Linked DNA regions of Cricetulus griseus. The protein of the gene in region 4 purifies or fractionates together with the protein of the main gene of each other region. This does not show direct contact. Links are inferred from orthologs where the notes say so. Each region holds a gene or a part of one and is shown on either strand. Other genes may lie near its edges.

Region 1 (4,016 bases), on a different chromosome or scaffold from region 4:
TTTTATTTTATGTATATGAGTGTTTTGCCTGCATCTACATAATATGCACCCTTTACATGGCTATTGCCCATGGAGGCCAGAAGAGAGCATCAGATCTGGAGTTAAATGTAGTTGTGGGCCTCCGGTCGGTTCTGGCACTGAACTGCAAGATTAGCATATGCTCTTAACCCTGGGCCATCTCTCCAGTTCCTAGAAACCTTTTTTAAAACATATTTTCTTCTTAAAACAACTTTTAAAAAATATTTATTTACTTTATTTTTATGTGTATAGGTGTTTGCCTGTGTGTATGTCTACATGTTCCTGGTATCAGGGAAGTCAGAAGTAGGAGTCAGACCCCCTGGAGTTACAGATGGTTGTGAACCTCCATGCTGGTGCTGGGAACTGACCCCAGATCCTCTGTAAGAGCACCAAGTATACTCTTAACCATCTCTCCAGCTCTTATATTTTCTTTTTTGAGACAGGATCTTACTATGTAGTTCAAGCTGCATCCCAACATTCCCACCTCCAGTCTCCTACCCCAGTGCTGGAATTACAGGCACTGCGGAGCAAGAAAGCGCCTTTTTTTTTTTTCTTCAAGAAATTTCTTTGGAACACTGGTAACGTTCTATGAAGTCTGTAATCATGTAAAAAGGTTTTATACATAAATTAGTCTTAGCATTTTATTTCTTTGAATAAGGGATATGCATTTCCACTTCAACTTTTGGGGGGAAGATTCTCATATATGTACTACACTAAATATTTCAAGCAAACCAACTTCAAATTACTTCCAGTTCCCAACTTTAAATCCTACCAGCTCTTCCAAACAAACTCAAATGGTCAGAGCAGGATAAAAACCAACACACTAAAACGAACATCAATTCAAACAACTATCTGTGATTCTCTTTCCCCAGGATCACCACTGTAGGGAACTCTTCCACACACAGCAGGCAGGTCCAGAGACAGTTACATAATACTTTATTATAGTCCCAGTGAGGAAAACAGTCAAGAAAAACATATGCAGCTTAGTCTACAACACAGCCTTACTTTAGATAAATGCAGAGGGACAAGTTCCAAAAGAAAACTGTCTGTTATTTGAAAAATGAAACAAAAGGAACAGATGGAGTAAGTAGAGAAAAAGTTAAGGCTTCAAAAACATAGGTAACTTTAACAAAATGTCAAAAACAGTAGCTATTAAACTAAACCAAACATCTCCTGCTTAGGAAAGGCAGCTGAAGTTGACAAGGGAAATCAAATTTAGCCTACACTAGTTTCTGTTGCAAAGGACTTGGACCTAGAGGGTGAGGCCAGGCAGACAACGTCTCTCCCACCTCAGGCTATGAAAAAGGCAAAGTGATCTGCTCAGCAAAGGCACACAACCATAGCGGTTATCCAACCAACACATAACTCCCATAACCAGATCCAGAGTTTTGTTAATTCCAAGCAAACTACACACTGGCGGTTTTTTTTTTTTTTTTTTTAAAACCCTTTTGAGTCTTGGCCTATGAAGTCCAGAACTCGGAATCTGCCTGCCTCTGTGGCCTAAATGCTGAGATTGGCGGCTGGGCCGCCGCACTCGAGTAAACTTTTTTTTTTTTTTTGTAATGCAAAAGGAAACACTAAATTGTTCCAGAACGCTTTCTTTGTCTTAAAGGGAGCTCACATTCTGACCAGAATGGGGCGGCCAAGTTCGCCCGAGCCTGGCACTGAAAAGTTTCCGAGAGGCTGTTTAACAAGTTAACTGTAAGCGTGGGTATCGGCACAGGGAAAAAGGCAGCAGGCTCACGCACAGGCGCAACCGATAAATCCTGACAGCTGAAAACTGCCTCTCGCGGGGCTGGGTGGCAGAAAGGCCGCGCTGGAAGCCGAGGGGCAGGGGGGACGGGCGCGGTGCCAGGGCTGAATCCAGGTCACCGCGGTGAGGGCAGAGAGCCGACGCCGCTGACGGACGGGCACCACAGCTCCTCCGCTTCTGCGCCGAGCTCAGAGCCGGGGGACCCGCAGCCTCTGACAGGCAGGGGAGCGGGAAGGGCCACCCGCCTGGCCGCCGGGGGCAGGGACGCGGCGTTTAAAGGTCAAGGTCAAGGTGGGGTCTGGAGAGCGGGCGCGCTCGGGAGAGACCAAAGACGCACGCCCGGCACAGCAACGCTAGCGCTGACTAGGACCACCCTGGCTTTACAGAGACAGGAGGGGGCTGCACCACTGCAGGATGGAGGCGGGGTGCACACCACAGGCTGGGGGTGGGGGGTGGGGGCTCAGCCGGGGACGGGCGACACAAGGAAGGGGAGGGAGGCGCTTGGAACCCGGCCCGCGGCCACCGCCACACTCACTTGCCCTCCTGGCAGTCGTAGAGCACGATGGAGTCGTCGTCGCTGCTGGAGATGACCGTCTCCCCGTTGGGGCTGAAGTCGAAGCAGTTGATCTTGTCCGAGTTCTCGCGGAACACCTTGGCGACGCGGAAGCTCCTCAGCACGCTGTCGGTCAGCTTCATGGCGGCGGCGGCGGCGGCGGCTGAAGGCAGCCGCGGCGGCGCAGGGCCGGGGCGGGGCCGAGAGGCGGGCGGGCGAGCGGGCGAGCGAGCGGGCGGGCGGGCTGCTCAGGGCCAACCCCAGCCGTGCGGGCGCCGCGCTGGCGGCTACCGGGGCGGCGTCTGACAGTCGGGTCGCCGCGCCGACCTCCTCGGGCAAGGCCCTCTCGGCGGGATGACGGGAACCTCACTGACCGTTCTTCCCCAGAGTCGCTTCAGGGCCAACCGGCGATGCGCCGGCTCATTGTGTCGGCCATCTTGTAAGGAGAAGCAAAATCAGAGGGCGAGGAGCCTCTGCCGCGGCGGACGCCGGGAAAAGGGGCGGGGCGGGAACTGAGGCGCGCGCTGCGGGGGCGGGGAGATGACGTCAGCGGGGCGGGCTCCCAAGTCGGTGGACCGGGAAGTCGCCGGTCGCTGGTGTGGAGAGGGGAGGCCTGCGGGCGTGGAGCGTCCAGAGGCTTCCTGAGGGCGGGAAAGTTGAGGTCGCCTCGGGACTAGTGCCTTTGTGAGCCGTTCCCCAGGGAGACTCAGGTGCCCCTGAGGCCGCAGGTACTGGCGGAGGTCACCCCTCATGACCTGCTCGTGGGTGTGACTCAGGTGAACCGGTCGCTGCGGGGCTTGACCACCACACCACCAACCCAGGAGGCCTCCATGTGTTAATTTAATGAAGGACAACATATAAAATGTTAAGTGTGTGCCTCTTTCAATTGGGTATATACCATGATCACTGCTCAGGATGTCAGAGCTTTCTTTAAGAACTTTTTCGAGAGTGTCAAAGCGCATGAAGATAGCTAACTTGAATGCGGGAGGAGGGGGAAACCCTAGGAAAGCACTCACTGTGAGACATTTCACTCACTGGCAGCTAAGAGGAAGGTGTGACCAGAATCCCACATATCATGACAATGGTTAACAAAACAAACGAAATGGAAACACTAGAAAAGTTGGAGTCTTCTTGGAAATAACTAGGGGTTGAATTCCACGTCCTCCTGTAAAAAATCGGGGTATCTACGTAGAGAAATTGTTGGCTGGGGGCGGGGAGGGGGGAAGACAAGGCTAAGTCCGGACTGCAGTGGCCACCTGACAAAGCAGAGCACCTGGCTACAATTTGTTCTGAGGTTTGAGGAGTAGGAAAAACCGGTTTGAATGCAACCTGAATGGATGGCAACTTTCCAAACTGCAAATCCAGTCAATTCCCAGTGATTGTTTCTGAGCCTAAAAAGGACGATGCAGTCTGCCATGAAAGCTTGAGATGGTGAGGACAGATCTGGTGTCCTGTTCCGACCTGCTGTGTGAACTGGCCTCCTCTGTAGCACATACGTAGTAAAGATCCTGTGGACTGGCTGACTAGAACTTCGGAATTATGAGATAAAATGCAGCCAAAAGCCAAATGATCATGAACTATTTTAGGCCTCTTTAAAAATGTGTGTGTGGCGGGTGGTGGTGGCGCAATCCTTTAGTCCCAGAACTCCGGAGGCAGAGACATGCGGATCTCTGTGAATTCCAGGCCATCTGG
Region 2 (3,515 bases), on a different chromosome or scaffold from region 4:
CAGGGGAGTCAAAAGTTACCTCAAAGGACTGAGGCTCCCTTGCTGGGCTCAGGGCCCCTATCCCACATGTGGAGATGGGGACATGTGGGCCCTGCTGAGCCCACTAAGGCTGGGGGTGCTGGGAGCTTAGGGCACCAAGGGGGAATAAATAGGGGTGAGGGCACCAGTCCTGCCCCACCTCAGTTGAGGGAGCCACGGCAGCTTTCAGTGCCACACAGACACGGGATCTTGTTGTCCTCGAGTGGGAACTTGTAGTCGTAGGTGATCTCCTCATCCACGCCAATGGGCTGCTTGGAGTAGATCACAATCTTCTTCTGAGACTCGATGGTGATCACCTTAGCGTAGCAGTTGGGCTGCAGGAGGGGCAGTGTAAGCCGCAGCCCCCCTCACCCCTGCCCCGCCCAGCCCTGGCCCAGCCCTGAGCGCACCGTGCAGCAGTGGTTGATGAACCTGGCCAGGTTGCCGCACTTTGTGGCATCAATGATGGTATCGTGGTCCACCCGGAAAAGGTAGCTGCTGCCAATGCCCTCCTGAACGTAGCGCTTCTCCCGCATGTCAGCTACCATCTGGGAGGAGGATGAGATGAACACATGCATGGACTTCAGCCACTGCACGAGCTAGCTGACCAAGCCAACAGCTCCTGGGCCATGCTGACTGGATATGCCCTGGGTCTACCTGCTTCCACCCAATCTGATCCAAAGTCAGTCACACAAGGACTCTCTGCTGAGAACCTGTGTGGCCACAGTGGAGCTCACAGTATACTGTGGGCCTGCAGCGGCTTCTGATGTGACAGTGGCCATGCCTTCAACTGAATCCTTTCCTAGGACTATCCTTCCCAGACACCTACTGGGCAGCTGGTGAGAGCAGATGGCAGATGGTCTGTGCCAGGACAAAGGCCTTTCAGCAAGGGGCAACTATTCCCAAGAAATAGGCAATGCATTTGCCACTCTCACTGAGTGACCTTACCCCTTTGCAGAATTCTAACCACCAGCTCTAAGTGAGGACTCCTCCCAGGCTTCCACCTCCAGCCAAGCCCACCTCAGTAGGACTGTGGGATGCCACCCCTACAACCCTAGGACCCCAAGCTCACATCTGCACTGAGACAAACCTTGACTGCATTTGTGTTCCTTCTGCTGCTCCCAACCACATTCCTCAAAGCTACTGGGGATGCCCCGAGGAAGGCCTTGACACCTTATTTTCATCCTCTACAGCCAACTACCTGGTTCTGTCAACCACTTTGGACCCACAGGCTAGAGTCCTGTCACCCCTGTTGCCACTACCTCATCCATACTTTGGCTCTGACCTGCCATTAAGCACCACTGAGGCCAGTCCACACAAGCTCTTTTCTACACAGCCAGAGGGAGCTTATTAGCTTCTCAAGTCCTTGTTTGCACAACTTCCAGAACATTCCCCATCCACCCACAAGGCTACACTTGACTGACAGGGTTCCAGCTCTGAGGAGTTGGCTCCACTTGCATGTCCAGGTTCACATCCCTGTCACTGGCTCTGAACAGATGCATTGGCCTCATCCTCCGAAGAGGACAGCTTCTGAGCCTTTGCAAATTCTGTCTTCAGAACTGGAGCATATATATCCTGATGCCCCAGGAGTTCATTACCCTTTAGCTTGCAGGTCTTTGGGAGGTTCTGGGTCCCCACAACACCTACAACCCTTTAGTATCAACACCACTCTTTACTATCATTATTGTCCAGTGTTCCTGGCTGGACCACTAACATCAAAGCTGGGCAGCGGCAGCGGCAGTAATGAGTGAGATTTTGTACAAAAGATTAGATGGTGAAATCCCATGCTGCTGTAGTCAGCGACTGGGCTGGTGCTGGAGTGGAACCTTACCTGGCGGATGTTCTGGCCAACATATTCTATCACCATCTCATCAGCTGCGATGGGTTCCATGGCAAACAGACCCCACTCATGGATTCGGCTCCGGCCAAATCGGAGTTTCTTCTTCCGGAACTAGGGGACAAAAGGTAGCTTTAACTGCTGATGTTCTCACAAACCTGCACCTTCCCTTTCCTTCCGCCTTCCCGTCCCACAGGATCCCGCCAGGGGCAATCTCCTTGCTGTGGTTTTTTTTCCACTGGGTCTCCTCCCTCCTCCAGTTTCCCCTCCTGACCTTGAGCTGGTTTAGCTTTAGCAGATCACTATCCATGATGGCTGAGGTGCCAATGGCGCTCAGTAACCGCCGCTGCTCTGATCGTCGCTCAGAAAGTACCCGATTAGTCCCCTGTGAGCAAGACAGGTGATGAGTGCTTAAAGGACAGGAAGGAGGCAGCAAGCTAGGGCTTGGGGCAGGACTCTACCTGAGTGTCCACGCCTTCCAGCTGTCGGGCTGAGACAGGGCACACATCCAGGTACTTGTCCTTCTCCTTCTTGCTGATGGGGTAGTAACCTTCACTGCGTGCAGAGCCTGTCTGATGCTCCCGGGGCCCATCTTGGGGCCGTCGCTTACGCTTTGGAGTGCTTAGGTTGGTGAGTGCAGGGTGTTAAGGAAGAGAACAGGTTCCCTACTGGCCAGTCCCTTAGGGCTCACACCTCCTGTGCACCCCAGACCCAGCCTACAGGGTAGCTGGTCTGATAGTGAGAATACTCAGGAGACAGACAGGAGAAGGCAAGTCTAGATCTTACCTGTTCAGTCAGAGGAGACACAAGGCAGAGGGAAAAGACAGCTGGCAACTAGAGAACCCCAAAGCTAATCAAGGCACAGTAAATTAGACAGACAGGAGATCACTGCAGCTGTAGGACTGACCTGAGGATGACATTTCTGGCCATATGACCCCAGGGAATGCTGACCCCATCCCAGCCCTGTGTCTTGCTCTAGGGTACAAGCAAGCTCTGTGGCTCAGGATATTTGTGTGATGGACCCAGTGAGTATCATTAAGCCAGTCAGCCCCACTGGTCTGCTGCAATAGCCGCTCATACGTGAGCCGCAAATAGCTCATGTCTTCCAAGTCCAGGCCTGAGTTCCAAATGTCATATAGGATGGTCATCTGCTCAAATTCACTCCTTGGCTCAAAAGAAGGAGGTGGTGGGGGTGGGGGTGGGAGTGGTGGCCGTCTTCGTCGAGTGTGGGAGCGGAGGCTGCGCCTCCTGATAGCCCCTTCCTCATCACTGCTGCTGCTGCTGCTGCTGCTTTCTGAAGACCCCTCTTCTTCCTCCTCCTCCTCCTCCTCCTCCTCCCTCTTCTGCTCCGGATGCTGCTGCTGCTGCTGCAGCTGTTGCTTTGGCTCCTCTGCTTCAGCCACCACCACCTCAGGGGCCTCCAAGACTTCATCAGCTGGGGAGCTGAAGAGTGCAGCAAGGGCAGGAGCTGGCTCTAGGGGCCGAGGTGCTGGTGTGGCAGGTGGGGGCTTAATGGCCAGGGCATAATTGTGTTCCAAGAGGATGTGGCTGAGTAGAGGGCTTGGGCGCTCAGCCTCATCTGAGGTCTCGGTGGCCTCTGAGTCGTCTCCAGTGGGTAGGGTAGCCAACCCCCGTCGGGCTGGAGTCAGGGCTAGGTCAG
Region 3 (3,515 bases), on a different chromosome or scaffold from region 4:
AGGCTACACAAGGTCCAATGTCAAAATAAATTAACAGAGTAAAGTTAACCAAGATTACAAACTATGCAAGAGAGCCAAGCTGAGTTTACACAGTCAACAAGTAAAGGATAAACCTAGCCCTGATTACTGAAGGAAAACAATGCCCTATCCTGGGCCTTAGGAAGAATCCAGTCCAAGCCCTACAGACAGCCCATTCAAGGTTAGCTGCCAAAAACTATTTAGTAACTACATAGGACTGCAATAAAAATTACAAATGCACTCTAACTTCAAATATACACTGAGTACCCCTGAAAAAATATGTTAAAAATTACTTTCATTATCTGCAAGCCTATGCAATTTCTCACTAGATTAAAAACAAAGTGAATAAAATCATTTATTGTAATGAACTCACAAACAAAGACAACATGTAGCAGTCGGGCATTGGTGGTGAACGCCTTTAATCCCAGCACTCAGGAAGCAGAGGCAAGAGGATCTCTATGAGTTTAAGACTAGCCTGGTCTACAGAGCAAGTTCCAAGAAAGGCTCCAAAACAATACAGAGAAACCCTGTCTCGAAAAACCAAAAAAGAAAAAAAAAAAAAAAAAAAGGAAAACAAAAACAACATGTAGCTAAACTAAGGTAGTCATTCTAATGAACAACAAAAACAACATGTAGCTAAACTAAGGTAGTCATTCTAATGAACAACAAAAACAACATGTAGCTAAACTAAGATAGTCATTCTAATGAACAACTGGCCCAGACCCAAACTCTATACATCTAAATGAACAGTTAAAACAGCCATTCCATACATCGATTTTTTTTTATTTTTAAAAAATAAAAGCAAAAAAAATTTTTTTAATAAAGTAAAATAAAAAATAAATTAAAAAATAAATAAATAAAAGCAATAGAAATTTTTAAATTTTCAAAATTAACTTTTAAATTAATTATTTAAAAGACATTAAGATAAAAAATGATTACAAATCTTTGGCAAACTACTAAAATAAGCTTCAGTTTGCTAAATTGTAAGGCTGGAGTCAAGAGCCAGGCAGATATGCAGAATGGTTTCCAGGCTGTGCACAAGGACTGCCTTTGGGCACAGAAGGCCTTTTTAAACTTTCATTTCTTGTTCATGTCAACATTTGCTTTGATAATTCAACTTCAACTTTCAACCTCCACTTCACCACTGCTAGCTACATGATCTCAAGAAAAGTTATATAACCCCGAGTCTGGTGGGTTTTTATTATTGGTAAAACTGGAAATAATGCCCTCCTCCTCAAAGGATCATGGTAAAGATTCAGAAAGACTTGTATCTGAAGCAGCAGTGTCTGAACTTGTAGAAGACTTCTGATAATGGCAGCCACCCCAGTTAATCATTAAGCACTTACTTCCAGGGTGGTTGCAAAGTCAATGTTGATATAGCTCAAGTATATGCTGATGCTGCCAAGACCCACCCCCCCAACATTTATCTCTTAAAAGTTTACAGACACTTTCCCTTAATTACATCAGCAGTTTCCAGGGCAAGTTTTACATCCCTGCATTTTATTTAATTTTTTTTTTGTTTCACACTCTATATTTTGATCTTTCCCAGACTCTAAATACAGTGTGAGCTTTGTCTGTCAACCCGGGTACACTTGCTCCCTGAAAACACATGCAACTTAGAACCCCTGCCCACTTATGCTCTTTCCCCATGTTCCCTGGGGCAGACCGGACTTTTCCTGCCCCCCCTCTTTTCATCTGTCCCCTCTCTCTGTGTCTCTACCTCTTTTCTCTTTCCTTGTCCCATCTCCACTTTCCCTTTCTAATAAAATTTCTCACTTAAATTCTGTCTGCCTGGCATGTTGGTCCCTGACTCGATCACCCTTGCCTGCCATCGAATCTGCCAAGGTCCCCCTCATGTTTTATAACACATTTTACCCATCATTCTTTGTAAATACCCATCAGATTTTAACCAAAGTTCACTAAAATAGCACAAAAAACGCGTGTCTTGTGATTTATTAGGATTACCAAAAGAATTTTGTTGAGGATAATTTTTATGGTTTTTCAAGACAGGATTTCTCTGTGTAACAGTCCTGGCTGTTCTGAAATTCATTCTGTAAATCAGGCTGCCCTTGAACTCACAGAGATGTGCCTGCCTCTGCTGGGATTAAAGGCAACTTGCTATTTAACTTTTTAAATATTAGGGTGGATCTTTTTTAATGTCATGCAGACCAAGTCAAATCAATTTCATCATTTCAAGTACATAAACATATTAAACATATCAACCCGACTTTCATGAAAAAAAAAAAACCTACTGTCAAGTATCAAATGTTGGTTTTCTGGATTGCTGTGAAGTGAAAACAACTGATAAACTTTTACTTACAGGATTGTACTGAAGAGCAGAGACGTAAGCTTGTACTGCTCCTTCCATGTCACCTGCTGCTACCAAAGCTGCTGCCAGGTTAATATAACCATCAATGAAATCAGGCTTGAGCCGCAAGGCATGTCGATAATGCTCAATCGCTTCCTGCAACTGCCCTCTTTCCTTGTACACATTCCCCAAATTCGAATAGGCTTCTGCTAGAAGGGGATTCTGTTTAATTGCCAAGGTGCTAAAGTGAGCAGATCTGGAAAAGTGGAAAGTGTTGATGAATGGATATATGTGTTAGAAAAAAAAGAGGCATAGCTCATATGCAACTGTGAAAGTTCCTGAAAACCCTGTGCTATGGAACATTATCCTTTAACCAGCACACACCAGAAGTTTGAAAACTTAAAACTTTTCTAAGATGAGAATATCCAGATTTCATATAGGAAAGCTGGGTCTTATGTAAGAAAATTTTTATTAGAATCCATTACCAAACTGCCACATCGTATAACATGATCATTAAGATCAAGAATAAAAATGCTATGTGCTTGAATCTCATTTTTCATTTAAGATTTAATGACAATGCATCTTCAATGTCTAAGCATGCCAAAATGATAATTTACTAAAAGATCCAAAGCACAAATTCTTCTCTTTTGATTAATTCAAGTGATTAGCTAAAAGCAACAATTTAATGAGGGTATTTCCAACTTGAACTACATATGCCCCTCCTACCAGACGCTCTGAAGCTAACAGGTCTGGATGTTCAAATGTACACTAAGAATAACTATCTGGAAAGAATTAATAAAGCAGCAGCCCCAAGTGATAAAATCTAGGGGGAAAACCTCATCATACTGATAATATGCTTCCCCCCCCAAAAAAAAACGGGGGAGAAAAACTAGCAGCTAGGCATGTCAAAAGTGAGCAAAAGAGCGCCTGTGTGTTGGTGGCTCAGATGAAACCAAGCACTGGAAATGCTTAAGTTCAAATATTTATCATTTTTTAAGCTCAGCACCCAGAGGCAGGTTACCCCAACATCTCCTACCTGTCCAGCCTTCGACACTGGAAATGTATAGATGAAAGTAATAAAAGGACACCAGTATTGTCAGGCTCTTGTCTCCAGAGCTGCATGCAGTGTCTCTCAGCTGCCTCAAAATCTCCTGCCTGATATTCTCGATGTGCCAACTCAGCTAACCCT
Region 4 (4,079 bases):
TCTGAGAGTGGCTCGGGTGTTGCTGTAGCCTCTGGCAGCTCCTTACCCACAGATGACAACACTGTCCCCTCATCTTCACGGATACGCCCCAGCTTCTGGGATGGCTGTGGCTGCTGTTGAGTGGGTGGTGGCCGGCGGGGCCTTGGCAGGGCCTCTGAGGGCGTCACCGGCGAGAGCTGCGGGGCAGAATCTCAGGACTGGCCCTGACCGCCCTGCCCGCATGCCCTGCCCCGCCCTGGGGGGCTGGACTCACCGAGGAAGGGAAGTACTTGTACGATTCCTGTGCGCAGGAGGAAGGCCTAGGTCAGCCCCAGGAAAATGATGGGTCACCCTGTCCTATCCCCAACTACTCATCCTTGCCTGGTCTACACAAAATGTTTTAGCCCTCCCCTCACCTCAGACATACGCTCAGTCCTACCTGTTGTGCCCTGGCATGCCTGACCACCTAAAAATATATGCCCCTGCCAGCTAGTTATGTCATGTGGCATTCACCTGAACATGCTAGGCCCCCTCCCACTCATCTGGACATAATGAGGCCCCACCCCACCCCACCCACACTTTCTCATTTGTAGCTCAAGCAGCCCTACTTGGGCCTCCCAGCCATGCTCTCCCACCTGAACCTACCCAGCTCTGTCCATGCTTACCCGTGCCCGCAGCTGACACTGGCGAAGCCGGCACTTCTGCCGGATCTTGTTGGGCCCCCCGAACTTCTTCATGTCACGGCAGAAATCACAGTGGCCACAGTCCTCAGTGCGCCGGCATGCCTCACACTCACCACACATTCGGGCTGACCGTTTGATTTGTTGCTGTTGCTGCTGCTGCTGGTGATGCTAGGAGTCAATGCGCAGGATAGACATCAGGAACCCAAATGGGGCCCAGAGCAGAATTTTACCCACCCCAACCACCGCAGTCACTCACCTGGCTAGGTGTAGCCACTAAGGGCTGTGGAGAAGATTTGTGGGGCGAAGCTGAGCCCCGAGCAAGCATGGTCCCAACCCCTGTCCCTGACCCTGCCCGGCGCTGCAGGTCTGGATCTGAAGCAGGCCTCTTGCGCCCTCCTCCCTCATCCCGGGGCTCACTGCCGTCCCGCTCACTGCCATCCCGTTCCCGGGATTTTTTGTGTCGGTAACGAATCTCCAGCTTCGGGTCCTTCTCTATGAGGCAAAGAGTAAGACCAAAGTGGGTTTGTGTGTGTGTGTGTGTGTGTGTGTGTGTGGCGGGTGGGGGGGGGATATGAATGATCCCAAAACCTCTTTCTCTGTTCCCACCCCAACTACTTCTCTGGCTCATGTTATAGGCGAGAGCTGCCCTCTCCCTTTAGGATCCTCCATTATTGCTCACAATGGAGTTGGTATTCCAATACCCCAAGGACCGACAATCACTCTGTCCACAGAGGACACCTCGATTACCCATGAGCCCTCCCATTACGGTTCCTCTTCATCTCTTGGAGCCCACCTGCCTTCCCCACTGGGCCTCACCTCGGCAATCCCGACAGTACCATTCCCGGATGGCTTTGGCCATCTTCTCAGTGATCCTGATGCAGTCCCCATGGAACCACTCATTGCAGTTGTCACATCCACTGCATATAATGGAGCAAGTGGTAGAGACGTGAGGGGTGGGCTTCATCGGTGCTCCCCAACCCCGCCAGGCATCAGCCCACCCACCTCTCCCCAGCTCACATCATGAAGCAGTTGATGTCTGGTTTTCGGCAGATGCAGTAGATGGGAGCATTCTCCCCATTCTCAGACTTGCTGTCCTCTCCAGCATCTGGAGGCTCCAAGTCTGAACCGTCTCCATCCTGTGAGACCCACCCCCAATGATGACTCCTTAATTCCCGCTTACAGCTCGACCACGGCTCAACACAAGTTCCTACTGTGTCTTTGGACTTCCTCCCTCTCATAGATTCCCATCAGCCTCTCCCTCACAGATCGCCCAGACCCTCATCACTCAACCCTGGGCCTCATTACTTTGCTTATACTGCTCTCCCATCACACACATCACTGACAAGCATCCTGTCACTCTTAACTGCTCATCACAAACACTTACCACATTGCCGCCTTCAAGAGTTCTACCCGGATATCTCTTAATTTGTTGGGCTGTCGTCCCATCCCGGCTTCCCACAAGTCTCTATAACTTAGCTCACAGACCCCCAACCCCAATGACGGTTTTTCAGAGCCCCTGTAAATACTCATGGCCAAGACCTTATCTCTCTGACCAAGGATCCTCACGTGAAGGCTTCCCACAAAACTGCCACCTGCAGTCTCTACTTAAGTCCCACTATGGACCCCCTACAACGGTTCATCAAAGAACTCACAGATGGTTCACTTCAAACCCCATCACACACCTTTTCCCATCGGCCCCCAGACTCGGCATCCACCTCACCAGAAGCCCCGTGCGCCTTGCCAACAGGCAGCAGTTGCCAACCCCACCGACCTCTGCCTCGGAACCGCGATCCAACCGGATACTCACCATATCTCCTCTCACAGCGCACCCGCTCTGGACCCCCGGCAGCACCCAGCGAACCTGAACGAGCCCCTAGGCAGCGTCCGCGGCGGTGGCAAAAGCGCCCACAACCACTTCCGCTCCTGGTCCCGCCTCCACGGCACCGCACTCTGAGTCTTCTCGCCCAGAACGACCGCTCAGCAGCAGACAAATAGGTCGCCCAACTACAGCCGCGAATGTCGCCCAGGCGCCGCCATCTTAACCATGGAATCCGTAAGGTAGCGAACACCGTACGTTCCGGGAGATATGGCCGCGCCTATCTGCAGGTCCTCGGAGCGCGCCGCCACCTTATCAGTCAAAGTCCGTACGGTGGCCGCCAGAGGGCAATATGGCCGCGCTTGCTTCGCAACTGCGACGCAGACGTCATCAGCTGTTTACGCCTCATGGGGCAGACTCCGTACGTTTCTAGGCAACGAATGGCAGCTTCCGGTTCACGGCTGTCAAAGGGCGTGGCCATCACCATAGTTGACTGTACACTGAGTGCTGCTGCCACGGGCAGGATAATCCTGTTACTGCCTAAATCATGTCTCATTCATTCCTCCATCCAGTCATTTTACCCTTCCACGTTTATAAATGGGATGCCAAGGCTCCGCAAAAGAAATAAATATCGTGTTGTAACTGCCCAGTTGTTTACCCACTTTTTACGCGCCTCGTCCCTCCTGTTTTTCAGCCAGATCTGGCTTCATTTTCCTTTTGTTTGTTTTATTTTATTTTATTTTATTTTATTTTTGAGACAGGGTCCCTCTAGCCCTGACGGTCCTTAACTCGCTGTGTAGACCAGGCTCGCCTTGAACTCAAGCTAACCATCTGCCTTTGCCTTTCAAGTGCTAGAATTAAAATAGTGCATATATATATATATATATATATATATATATATATATATATATATATATGTTTTAAAACTTCGTAGTGGCACACGCTGGTAATCCCAGCAGAAGTGGGAGGATGGATGAGGTTAGGAAATGCAAATTCACATCCTACCTGGACTACAATGTGAGTTCAAGGCCAACTTGGGTAATTTTGAGACTTTGTCTCAAGAAGAAAATAAGAAAGACATGCAGCCGGGCGTTGGTGGCGCACGCCTTTATCCCAGCACTTGGGAGGCAGAAGCAGGTGGATCTCCGTTCAAGGCCAGCCTGGTCTACAGAGTGAGTTCCAGGACAGGCTCCAAAACTACAGAGAAACCCTGTCTCGAAAAACCAAAGGAAAAAAAGAGAGAGAAAGAAAGAAAGACATGGAAGGAAGGGAAATGGAGAAGAAACAATGAAAGAAAACAGAAAAGTAAGGAAAAGAAATAGGTGTATACTCCTTAAGAAGCCAGTACTATTAAAATTTTAATTATATAGCTCTAGAAGTGAAAACTGGTTGCCAGGTATAGTAATATATTAGTAATCCTCAAGTAAAAGTGTACAGTATTGTCCTAGTATTGCAAAAAGTGCCCTAGTAAAGCAACAAATAATTAAAAGAATTATTAGAGCCAGTGAAATGGCTCAGCCTGTCAACCTGAGTTTGATTTCTAAAACTCATACTGACTGCCAGAGCTGTTTTTTTTTTCTCACTACACACACACACACACA
Region 5 (3,211 bases), on a different chromosome or scaffold from region 4:
CAATATCCAGTGTACTCAACTAAGAACAAGGACTTTTAGTTTGAAGCAATCTTTGCTATACCCAAGGCTCAGAATCATCCAGGAGCTTGTGAGATACAAACTTTTGGGCCAATGAATAAAGGTGTTTGCCACCAAGCCCCATCACCTGAATTCAATCATTGGGACACAGGTGGCAGAAAGAGAACCTTTATCTGCAAGTTGTCTTCTGACCACACATGCAACCTATCCCCTTCTCACCTGACCCCACCCCAGGCCAATAACACCTAGCTCTCCCACCCTGTCCTGAGACACTCAGGGGCACTGGTATTTACTCATCCAAGCTTGAGATGAGTCAGAACATTCAACAAGACACTGCCTGGCCCTGACCAGCTGCATCAGCCAGCCTGAACCAGGGTGCTTCTAAGTTCCAACCAGCAATCCTCCATTCCCACCAATCACAGGTTGTCTGGAGATAGCAGGCAGATAGAGGAAGTAAGTCACCTCCACAGACAGAGGCGCTAAGATTCTGTTGGGGCTTTAGGGAAAGATCATCAAATGACTTTATTGTAAAACATCTGCTATTTATTAACGGTTGTTCTTCTAAAAACAAACATGAGAACTGAGCACCACATCCAGAGTGACTCGCTTGCCCCTGCGGCTAGTGAGACGCTAGGACAGAGACAGTGGGGCTTTCCTTGTCCCCAAGTCTCAACTTAACTCACTCACTCCAGGGCTCCAAGCTACCTCTGACAAGAGAAAGAAAACCACTAAAATCTCCAAGCACAAGGAGGTCACAACAACCTTAGGGCTACTGACGCTAACTGCTGCGCATTCCAGCCTGTAACTCTAGCAACAATATCAGCTGCTCCCATTGCCCTTTGCTGTCCTGACCGGCTTGCTGCAGCCTGGCTTCTGCATACTGCAGAGCACAAGCGCTAACATCCACATGCAGGGTCTGTGTTCAAGTGTAGAGGTTTGTTCAGGATAGCCCAGGTCATGTAGTGCTTAAACCTCTGTAGTGTCTACTGTGGTCAGACCCTCGGACAGGCTGGTCAAAGGTGGCACAATGCATGAGCTTTCCATAGAATGTGTACACCACCCCAGTCAAGGCCAAAATCTTGACATCAGTATAGTGACATGGTCGACTCAAGTTATATTCATATGAATCAGGAATCCATTTCGTTTCTTCATTAAATGGAGTTTTCCAAAGGTATCAGGCATATTCTTAAAAAAAAAAAAGAAAAAGAAAATGTCAAAACGCTACTTTTGATAAGGGCTTATATTCACTAATTATATATTCCTAAAAGAATTAAAGATTTAACATAAATAAATATTTTACACTCCAGGATGAATCAAGAATCTCTCCTGGGCTGCAGAGATGGCTCAGCCGTTAAAGGCTAGGCTCACAACCAAAGTATAAGAATCTCTCCCAAGAGGCACAGCACAACCCGCAATTGCTCAAGTTCAAAGGCCTAGATCACCTGCCTCCCTACCCAATTTATTAGTATCAATATCTCAAAGACTTACTAGCAGCACAAGGGACTAGAACACCCCAGGGGTGTGATGATGGCAGGTGAGGGATCTATTGGTCATACGGTGGCTCCCCAAACCCGGCACAGCATCCACCTCTATATCTCCAGCTATTTTTAAAGTTTAGATAAAATCCTAAACCTGGGACAAAGAGAACAGAGAGCTGCATGGCTCTCCACAGGGGCAACTTGGAAACGCAGAGCCCATGCAAAGTTCTCACTTGAGACAGCATTTGGGATTGCTGCTTGATTTCATATAAAAAAAATCACAAATGTCAGCCAGGGGAGAGCCACAGGTAAGCAATCTCAGAGATGACCTCCACAAATCCCCTGTGTAAACCAGTTGCCACAGTGGTTCCTGATGAGGTTTCCTGTGATGACTTGGATGCTCGGCTCCACTGGTGCAGAGCACAGTTGCCAATATGGGAGCAGCTAGAGCTGAATTCACTGAGGATGGCTCCCTGGGGTGAACTCCACTCCCACGTGTAAAACATGATGTCTAATCACAGCTTACCCCGTTTCTAACCATCAACTAGCCAGAGAGGAAAGATGGGGTACTAAACCTTAAGAAGTGTCTTGGGATGGCGCTGGAGGATCCTGGCTTTCAGGTTCTGGAGGGGGAGCTGGCATAGCTTCTTTTTTCTGGGCTGCCAGGAACTCGTGGATTGCTCGCTCTATCTGTGGCCTGAAGATGTGATTTAGTTTGGGGTCCACCACCTGAGAAATGATCCTGTCTACTCCTGCTTCCAACATGCCTGACCTGTGGAGATAAGACAAACTACTGTTATTTAGTTCTCAAGAGTTCCCCATTGCATAAATAAGCCCCAAGGGCCATTCAAGAGCCCAGCAAATATCCATTTTCCCCATTTAGGCCACTGGCCTTTCATTTGAGCAGTTCACAGCCACCTGCTACCCACCATTCCTAATGCAGTTTCAACTCTTTAGAAAGGAAACAAAGTTATGCAGACTGCACCAAAGGCCAACAACACATGTGACAAATGGCAAGAGCCTGGCCACAGGTGTAGGGTGAAACTGCAGTCACAGTGACAAAGGCAGCAAGTCTTGTTATGCCTTAGTTTTCCTCAGCATTTATTCTTAGCAGCCAGAACAGAAGTGGCTTCCAACAGCAACTCGGTTACTACATCCAATACAAACCAGATGAGATGTTTGTGATGACTGGTGAGACACATAAAGACTGGGCATGCAATGTGTAGTTGCTCAATAAAGGACAGCTACTGGCCCCTTCTTTCTGAGACCTCTACACTAACAGAGCTCACCTTGAGAAAGGGAGCAGTACTGTGCAGCTTGAGAGAGACAATGTGGGCAGCTTTAGATGCCACACTCACCTAGGGCAAACAGAGCTTTACGTGGGTGTTAATATTCTTCATTTACAAAAGATTTCAGTGGTCATAAGCCACAGCGAGTGCTATCGCACTAGCCAGCAAAATCCTTTTCTATTTTTAATCTCAATCTCTCCCCCCTCCCCCAGGAACTCACTACATAACCAAGGCTACTTGATTCTCCTAATCTTCCTGCCTCAGCCTCCTGAGGGCTGGGATGACAGGAGTGTAACAGGTATCCCATTTGACTGAACTCAACAACTGAATCTTAAACAACTTATTCAGTGCCACAAAGGTGAAGGCCACATAATCTCAACACCTTCTACCAGCTCCTGCCACGTCAACTCACAGGGGATCAACTTC

What was found.
Region 1: the proteins of Cxxc1 (region 4) and Wdr82 purify together in Homo sapiens (affinity purification with western blotting; 7 studies listed by BioGRID and IntAct, with this or other methods). This does not show direct contact. The link is inferred for Cricetulus griseus from reciprocal best matches to the Homo sapiens genes CXXC1 and WDR82.
Region 2: the proteins of Cxxc1 (region 4) and Setd1a purify together in Homo sapiens (affinity purification with western blotting; 16 studies listed by BioGRID and IntAct, counting the BioPlex papers as one, with this or other methods). This does not show direct contact. The link is inferred for Cricetulus griseus from reciprocal best matches to the Homo sapiens genes CXXC1 and SETD1A.
Region 3: the proteins of Cxxc1 (region 4) and Ogt purify together in Homo sapiens (affinity purification with mass spectrometry; 3 studies listed by BioGRID and IntAct, with this or other methods). This does not show direct contact. The link is inferred for Cricetulus griseus from reciprocal best matches to the Homo sapiens genes CXXC1 and OGT.
Region 5: the proteins of Cxxc1 (region 4) and Bod1 purify together in Homo sapiens (affinity purification with mass spectrometry; 4 studies listed by BioGRID and IntAct, counting the BioPlex papers as one, with this or other methods). This does not show direct contact. The link is inferred for Cricetulus griseus from reciprocal best matches to the Homo sapiens genes CXXC1 and BOD1.

What each region holds. Positions count from the first base shown.
Region 1 is NC_048597.1:214,373,360-214,377,375, reverse strand, and holds the start of Wdr82 (WD repeat-containing protein 82), read right to left. Parts: upstream 2,802-4,016; 5' UTR 2,468-2,801; coding exon 2,307-2,467; intron 1-2,306. UniProt on the Homo sapiens protein: Regulatory component of the SET1/COMPASS complex implicated in the tethering of this complex to transcriptional start sites of active genes.
Region 2 is NC_048596.1:72,972,913-72,976,427, forward strand, and holds the end of Setd1a (histone-lysine N-methyltransferase SETD1A), read right to left. Parts: coding exon 2,865-3,515; intron 2,490-2,864; coding exon 2,317-2,489; intron 2,241-2,316; coding exon 2,130-2,240; intron 1,970-2,129; coding exon 1,850-1,969; intron 567-1,849; coding exon 429-566; intron 354-428; coding exon 180-353; downstream 1-179. UniProt on the Homo sapiens protein: Histone methyltransferase that catalyzes methyl group transfer from S-adenosyl-L-methionine to the epsilon-amino group of 'Lys-4' of histone H3 (H3K4) via a non-processive mechanism.
Region 3 is NC_048604.1:68,636,412-68,639,926, forward strand, and holds part of Ogt (UDP-N-acetylglucosamine--peptide N-acetylglucosaminyltransferase 110 kDa subunit), read right to left. Parts: coding exon 3,363-3,515; intron 2,583-3,362; coding exon 2,339-2,582; intron 1-2,338. UniProt on the Homo sapiens protein: Catalyzes the transfer of a single N-acetylglucosamine from UDP-GlcNAc to a serine or threonine residue in cytoplasmic and nuclear proteins resulting in their modification with a beta-linked N-acetylglucosamine (O-GlcNAc).
Region 4 is NC_048595.1:165,573,413-165,577,491, forward strand, and holds the start of Cxxc1 (CXXC-type zinc finger protein 1), read right to left. Parts: upstream 2,814-4,079; 5' UTR 2,473-2,813; coding exon 2,470-2,472; intron 1,799-2,469; coding exon 1,680-1,798; intron 1,580-1,679; coding exon 1,479-1,579; intron 1,155-1,478; coding exon 919-1,154; intron 831-918; coding exon 645-830; intron 281-644; coding exon 254-280; intron 177-253; coding exon 1-176. UniProt on the Homo sapiens protein: Transcriptional activator that exhibits a unique DNA binding specificity for CpG unmethylated motifs with a preference for CpGG.
Region 5 is NC_048600.1:46,636,194-46,639,404, reverse strand, and holds the end of Bod1 (biorientation of chromosomes in cell division protein 1), read right to left. Parts: intron 2,269-3,211; coding exon 2,073-2,268; 3' UTR 2,072-2,072; intron 1,204-2,071; 3' UTR 516-1,203; downstream 1-515. UniProt on the Homo sapiens protein: Required for proper chromosome biorientation through the detection or correction of syntelic attachments in mitotic spindles.